2 linked regions of the Macaca fascicularis genome follow. The protein of the gene in region 1 interacts with the protein of each later gene in a pairwise test. Links are inferred from orthologs where the notes say so. Each region holds a gene or a part of one and is shown in the gene's direction. Other genes may lie near its edges. The genes, in order: FLT1 and SHC2.

Region 1 (3,814 bases):
TTTCACCGTGTTAGTCAGGATGGTCTCGATCTCCTGACCTTGTGATCCGCCCGTCTCAGCCTCCCAAAGTGCTGGGATTACAGGCTTGAGCCACCGTGCCCGGCTTACCTGTGTTCTTAAATGTAGAACAAACACCACTGCAAGTACCTTAATTTGCCCTGATATGAGGAGTTTTGAGAATGAGGAGTCGTGGATACCGATGGATAGAACTTAATTCTGGGGAAAACTCACAGGTGTCAGACTAGACGAATCTGGTATCTGCTCTCCACAGTGCCCTCTGGCGTATTTTCAAATCTGGCCCAAATCGCAATACATGACTTCATAGGAGAGCAACTGTTAATATAGCCATGTGGGGCCCTCCCACAAAACTGCAGCTGAAGAAAGATCTCATCTTGGCAGCTCAGGATAAAAGGCTGTGGGGCAAGTTTGCCCACTGGTAAATCTGAGATAACCAGCTTCACTGATCAAATAGTAGCCCAGGAGATTCAGAACATGTCTTGACTTTGGGGCTTGGGGACCTGTATTTGTAGAGAGGCTCTTCATGTCTATGGTAGCAGTGTGCACTGAGAGGTGCTCCCTTCACAGCATGGGAAATGGATTACCAAATTAAGATTAATGATGCAGAGGTGTAGGAAATTAGTTGGTTAGGTTAAGAAAATGCATTGATTATGCAGCTGTTTTATTATAGTGCATTCATCGGGACCTGGCAGCGAGAAACATTCTTTTATCTGAGAACAATGTGGTGAAGATCTGTGATTTTGGCCTCGCCCGGGATATTTATAAGAACCCCGATTATGTGAGAAAAGGAGATGTAAGTCAGTTTGATGCTTATTTGACTCATTTATGTCCTATTACTTTTAAACAACAGACTTGGTAAATATTTACACTTCCTCAGCTGTAGTCCCTGAAAACCATCATTGGCTTTCTGTGAAGACAAGCAGTCCAGAGGAGCGGCATCCCAGAGAGCCCTTGTGTAAGGCTCAGAAAGGCCACTGTCTCCTGGTTCTGCTCTCCCCTAATGCCTGGCCTGCCACCTGTCCTTTGGGCAGTGCTTCGTGAGACTGGCTAACCTGAGAAGTGTTTGGTGGGGCCTGGGTGAGACCTTAGCATTACCTTCCTTTGAATCCTGGGGAAATTCCTTGTACCACTGAAAAGAACAGCCTGGACTCTTTCCCTCAAATAAACCCGGGTGATTGATTCAGCAGGTGTATCTGTCTCAGGAAAGGGCGGGGAAGACTGTCAGCAGTAGCTGACTATGAAGGAGACTGTTTACTTCCCATGGCCTTCCATGCCTAGCATCTCTCTGCTGGCTCGCACTGGCTTCTCTTCCCTGCTTGTTTTCAGACATAGTGTTATTTTTCACTTTTGTAGGTGACGTCCCATGTCCTCCCTTCTCCAGCCTATATACCCTGAGGGTTAAGCTTGTGTCTGGGCACCACTGAGTTACAGTAGTGGTTCTCAACTTAATTGAACATACATATCGCCTAGAAGGCGTGTTATGCTACGGTGTGCTGGCCTAACAAGCCTTCCACCCCCCAGAGTTTCTGAGTCAGTGAGTCTTGGGTGGAGCCTGAGAATTTGCGTTTCTAACCAGTTACTACACCAAGGGTGTCCAATCCTTTGGCTTTCCTGGGCCACATTGGAAGAAGAATTATCTTGGGCCACACATAAAATACACTAACAATAGCTGATGGGCTAAAAAAAAAAAAAAAAATTGCAACACATCTCATAATGTTTTAAGAAAGTTTACGAATTTGTGTCAGGCTGCATTCAAAGCTGTCCCAGGCCACATGTGGCCTGCGGGCCAGGAATTGGACATGCTTGTTCTAGAAGGTGCTGACATAGCAGGTCCTAGGACCATACTTTGAGAGCCACTGCACCACAATCTGTTTGTATAGAAACAAAACATACGACTTCGCATTGACCCTTTGTAAAAATAAAAGAAAATAAAGGAAAACAAACTTTCCTTGGGGCCCTGGTCTGGAGAGATGGCACCAACCTTCATGTTAGTCCACCCCTCCTTTCTGTTCATCTGTATCTGAGTCAGCCTCCCTGCCCCTCCCACTTCCTTTCTCCTTGTCTCTCCTTTATCCCATACCTCCCATCAGTCCCCATCATCTAAAGTGGTGAGGCCTAACTCACTGGGATTCCTGCTATCTGAAAAAGAGGAAGATTTGTCTACATGCTTGAAAACCAACTGTATATTCTCTTTCAACACTGACTTCTTTCCTTCTTCTCTTCTTTCTGATGCTTTTGCACACTCTCCCTATTCAGTGACTTTTGAAATCTTGTCTTTTTGCATAGGAATGCTTTTAAAATCCTCCTTCTTGGGAAAAATTTTTAGAAATCACCACCATTTTTCGGGATATCTTCAAATTCAGATCACTTTTCCTTTTCCAAGCCCTGAGTGTCCCTGTGGAGTGCAAGCTTTCTTTGTGGGGGAGGATTTCTCACAGAGCCATGCAGTTAAGGACATGCCGAACACATCAGAGGGGCTTACTGAACATGTACTGCCTTCACTGGACTCAGTATAGCACTCTAGCTCCCTCTTTTAGTGTAACACTGCATACTGTGGTGTTCTCTATGTTAGAAACCAGAACTGCTCTAGGAAATGATTTATGGGCCATATGCTATCTGGGAGGTGACCCCATGGGCACTTGGGTTGAATGTGCTTTGTTTTCATGCCCTTCTGCTCAAGGCCCCTTTGCCCTCTTCCAGACTCGACTTCCTCTGAAATGGATGGCTCCTGAATCTATCTTTGACAAAATCTACAGCACCAAGAGCGACGTGTGGTCTTACGGAGTATTGCTGTGGGAAATCTTCTCCTTAGGTAAATTTGGGAGAAGGAAGAGATCAAACAGCCCAGAAATAAATGTCTGCATCTTCTGCTGAATGTCCTTTGGCTAGATAGCCTTTAGATTAGCTCCTACTGTAACAAAAACTCTTAGGGTGCCATGGGTCCATGTAGACTCTCAGATGAGTAATGGCATATGCTTGTCTGCCCTCTACTGTAAAAGGGCTTTATACGATCATGAGCAAGGTCAGATGGGTATAAAGTCTGAAGTCGGGTTTATCTTTTTCTGTACTTTTTCCGATTCTGTCCTTTTCCAATTCCTCAACACGCACACCTCTAACGCCCTTACCCGTTCCCTCCCCGCATCTCCCACCACCTCAAAATTTCTTCCTAGGAAAGGCCATAATAAGCCCAGCTAACCCAGTGAGGAAAGTGCTGTTAGAAACAGGAGACCTTTCCAGTGCCTCTGATATTAACACATGATACGGCTCTGGACACCGGATTATACAGGATGAGCAGTAAAGAACACTGGTTGTATTTATTCTGCTTGCAAAAACATCCACTATGGGCGGCTAGAAGCCCTGTTCAAAGCACACAGATGCCTGCAGAGCCCACATCTGCTTGCAGACACACAGTGATGATCTGAGGCCTCCAAAACTCAAGTTCTAGCCAAGAGTCTTCTGGGCTTTGCCAAAAATTTGCCTTTCACAGCAAATAAAAGTCACCCAGTAACATCCCTGGTTTCCTGTAATGTGTGAAAATCATTCCCCTGCTTTCGATGACAGGCACCTGTTGCTTCCAGTCTTTGAAAGCAGCTTGGCGGCTGCAGTGGCCCCACAATGACACAGTGCCAGCACTGCACGTCTCCCAGCTGCTTCCTACCAGCAGTAATCACTAGAAAGTGCAGACAAACAAATGCTGAGGTAGATGAGGCTCAAGGGCTAGAACAAGAGTGCATTAGAAGGCCTTGCCACCCCCAGCCCTGGCAAGAATCCCCCTAAAAGGAAAGGTTGTAGGGGA
Region 2 (3,814 bases), on another chromosome or scaffold:
CGTCCCTGGGCTGGCGTTGGGGCGGCGGGTGGCGGCGAGGGTCAGCTGGGGCTTCAGGGAGGAGGTTAGAGAAGGATGGAGCTGGCCGGGGGTGGCTGAGGGCTGTTTCCACGCAGTTTCCATCTCCGCCCCGACCCTGCGAGGCACGGACCCCTGACCACCATACGGACAGGACGCTGAGGCTCCGAGCGGACCCTCCTGGCTGGGCCGGGGTTGGCCAGGGGAGAGCCTCCAGGGTCCCTGTGGGGGCTGAGGAGTGGATGTTCTGTAGGGAGAACTCAGGACGTGGCTGGTAGTGGGGGTTCACTGGGGCCTAGAGAGATCTGAGTGACGGGAAGCAAGTGAAGCAGAACCATGCAAATGAGCATGCATAGAAGCATGCAAACGAGCATACAAGCATGTAAATGAGCATGCAAATGAGCAACAAACAAGCATGCAGATGAGTGCGCAAATGAGCATGCAAAGAAGCACGCAAATGAGCACACAAGCATGTAAATGAGCATGCAAATGAGCACACAAGCATGCAGATGAGCGTGCAAATGAGCATTAAAGCATGCAAATGAGCACACAAGCATGCAAATGAGCACACAAACAAGCATGCAGATGAGTGTGCAAATGAACATGCAAAGAAGCACGCAAATGAGCACACAAACATGTAAATGAGCATGCAAATGAGCACACAAGCATGCAGATGAGCGTGCAAATGAGCATTAAAGAAGCATGCAAATGAGCACACAAGCATGCAAATGAGCACACAAATGAGCATGCAGATGAACATGCAAATGAGCATGCAAATAAGCACACAAGCATGCAAATGAGCATTCAGATGAGCATGCAAATGCACTCACAGGTGCTCTTGCACATAGACAAGGGAGTCAGGAATGTGGGTCCAGCCCTCCCACGGCTGCTTCGGGTGTGTGGGGGTGTGTGTGTGTGTGCACATGTGTGGGGCATGGGATGTGTGTGCGTGAGCGTCTGGGCAGGTGCCTGTGTGGTGTTGCAGTGGGGGTGGTCTGTCACTCACATTCCCGTGTGACCTGCGGACCCCACACACCCCTTAGGGCCCTAGTCCCGTCCTGCTGGGGCCTCCACATCCCAGCCTCGGTCGTCTAGGCTGACCCAGGACCCGGCTGCAGTGGGTGCCTGTCCAGGGGACGTCTCCATCCCCACATCCCTGCCCCTGCCCCCTTCCTCGCTGTGGCCCTGGTACAGTTGCCGGGCCCCCTGCCCTCGTAGTGGGGCCCCCATGACCACGTGTGCCTCCTGCCCCCACAGGTCATCGCCAACCACCACATGCCGTCCATCTCCTTTGCATCGGGCGGAGACACGGTGAGGCCAGGGATAGGGGTGGACCTGCAGCCCCGCCGCCCCCTGCAGCCGCGAGACCCTCTCGCCCTTCCCCAGAGCCCGCCTCACGTACCCTGTGCCCACATCCACTGCCCCATCTGTCTGCATTGCTGGGGTGGGTGGCTGGGAATCCCGGTGGGGGGCCCAGGCAGGTCCAGCTGGCCCCTCCCTGCCCCCAGGACATGACGGATTACGTGGCCTACGTCGCCAAGGACCCCATCAACCAGAGAGGTGAGGCTCCCCGGGGAGGCTGGTGGGGGTCCCGTGGCCGGGGGGCATGGCCGTGTGGCTTGGAGGCCGCATGACCAATGCCCCCACAGCCTGCCACATCCTGGAGTGCTGTGAAGGCCTGGCCCAGAGCGTCATCAGCACCGTCGGCCAAGCCTTCGAGCTGCGCTTCAAGCAGTACCTGCACAGCCCACCCAAGGTGGCACTGCCCCCAGAAAGGTAACAGACCCGCCTCTCCCATGCCCTGGGGACGCCCCCAGCGACCTGCCCGGGTGTAGAGCCGGCTCCACCTCCTGCAGGCCTCGGCCTCCGTCCTGCCCTTGTCCCTCCCTCCCTGTCCCCTGAGAATGTGGCTCGGCCAGAGAATCCTGTTTCCTCGGCTGTAACACCCGGGTGAACGCATCCCCGCCCCCAGGACTGGGGGAGACTGAGCGAGCTGACTCCCCGGTGTGCCCGAGGCTGTCAGCCCTGCCGCTATAACCAACATCCCTCCTCCAGACGCACGGCCGGCTCAACGGCCTCTGTCTCACCGCAGAAGATGTGTAGAGGGGGGGCGTGTCTGTGTGCTGGTAACGTTATTCATAGACATTGAAGTGTGAATGTCACGTGTCGCAAAATATGATTCTCTGGATGTTTTCTCAAACACTTAACTTTGATGATTTAGAGGCTGAACGCCCATTCTTAGCTCGTGGGACACACAGATCTAGGCAGTGAGCTGGATTTGGCCCTGGGCTGGGGTTTGCCAGCCGGCCTTGGAGAAGGAGGCATTTAAGTCTATTCATCATTAGAAAGTCACGTTCCTCCAGCAGTGGGAGGGCAGGTGCAGGCCCGTGAGCTCCCAGCCCTGCTGGTCACGCGTGCTCACGCTCACCCCTTTGTGCACAGGGACGGCGTGCTCCACGCACATTGCTTGGCGTGCTCCGACGCTGGGACGGGTTCCTCGCCTGCCTCTGGAGCTGCCCCTGCCTTCCGTAGGCTGCCCTGTGATTTCTCCCGGCAGCGATTGTGGGCCAGGCGGCGTGTGCCCCTCTGGCTCTCGGGCCGTGCTTGCTGAGGAGCCCGCCAGCGCCTTTGGGGCCGGAGGGCGGGGGCACTCTGATCCCAGAGTTACCACCCTGACCGGCGATGTCCTGGTTCTGGGTATAAACTTGGCTCCTGCCCTCTGCTGCCGGGCAGCACCGGAGATGGGCAGAAAGGAGTGGAGACCGGGTTTGCCCACGTCCTGCCTTTTGTGCTGCAGCTTGGAAATGTGTGCAACTTTCCATTTCAGAGACGAGGACGTAGTGGGCCTGGTCACTCGCTCTCGAAGCGTTTCCTGGTGGGAACCCTCAGCGACAGGCGGGGGGCTGGGATTCGAACTCAGGCCTTCCTGCTCCCCCAGAAGCTCAAGCTGTGGGGGTTTAGCCCCCTTGGGCCCTGCCTGTGCCACGGCCATTGCTGTCTGTCCCCCAGGCTGGCGGGGCCAGAGGAGTCGGCCTGGGGGGACGAGGAGGAGGCTGTGGAGCACAGTTACTACAACAGCGTCCCGGGGAAGGAGCCGCCGCCGGGCGGGCTGGTGGACTCCCGGCTGGCCCTGACACAGCCCTGCGCCCTCACAGCCCTCGGCCAGGTCAGCCTCTGCCTCGTGGGGACTGGGGCAGGGATGCCCAAGCTGCTGGTCTCCTGGGCCTTCCTCCAGCTCTTCTTTCTGCTCCTGTTCTCCTTGATCCTAGAGGAGGGTCTCTCTCTCACTCAGACTCACTCACTCGTTCCCTCCCTCACAGACTTGTGATCTCACTCACTCACGATCTCACTCACTCACGATCTCACTCATGATCTCACTCATGATCTCTCTTACGATCTCACTCAGACTCACTCACTCGTTCACTCCCTCACAGACTTGTGATCTCACTCACGATCTCACTCACAATCTGTCACGATCTCACGATCTCACGATCTCACTCACCATCTCACTCACGATCTCACGATCTCACTCACTCACGATCTCGCTCACTCATTCACTTATGATCTCAGACTCATTCACGATCTCACTCACAATCTGTCACGATCTCACTCACGATCTCACCCACCATCTCACGATCTCACGATCTCACTCACTCACGATCTCGCTCACTCATTCACTTATGATCTCACTCAGACTCACTCACGGTCTCACTCACAGACTCACTCAGACTCACGATCTCACTCACGATCTCACTCACGATCTCACTCACGATCTCACTCACTCATCACTCATTCA

What was found.
Region 2: the proteins of FLT1 (region 1) and SHC2 interact in a two-hybrid assay, tested with the Homo sapiens proteins (2 studies listed by BioGRID). The link is inferred for Macaca fascicularis from reciprocal best matches to the Homo sapiens genes FLT1 and SHC2.

What each region holds. Positions count from the first base shown.
Region 1 is NC_088391.1:8,245,605-8,249,418, reverse strand, and holds part of FLT1 (vascular endothelial growth factor receptor 1), read left to right. Parts: intron 1-688; coding exon 689-811; intron 812-2,718; coding exon 2,719-2,830; intron 2,831-3,814. UniProt on the Homo sapiens protein: Tyrosine-protein kinase that acts as a cell-surface receptor for VEGFA, VEGFB and PGF, and plays an essential role in the development of embryonic vasculature, the regulation of angiogenesis, cell survival, cell migration, macrophage function, chemotaxis, and cancer cell invasion.
Region 2 is NC_088393.1:996,737-1,000,550, reverse strand, and holds part of SHC2 (SHC-transforming protein 2), read left to right. Parts: intron 1-1,275; coding exon 1,276-1,329; intron 1,330-1,526; coding exon 1,527-1,578; intron 1,579-1,667; coding exon 1,668-1,794; intron 1,795-2,845; exon of another isoform or gene 2,846-3,027; coding exon 3,028-3,184; intron 3,185-3,814. UniProt on the Homo sapiens protein: Signaling adapter that couples activated growth factor receptors to signaling pathway in neurons. Involved in the signal transduction pathways of neurotrophin-activated Trk receptors in cortical neurons.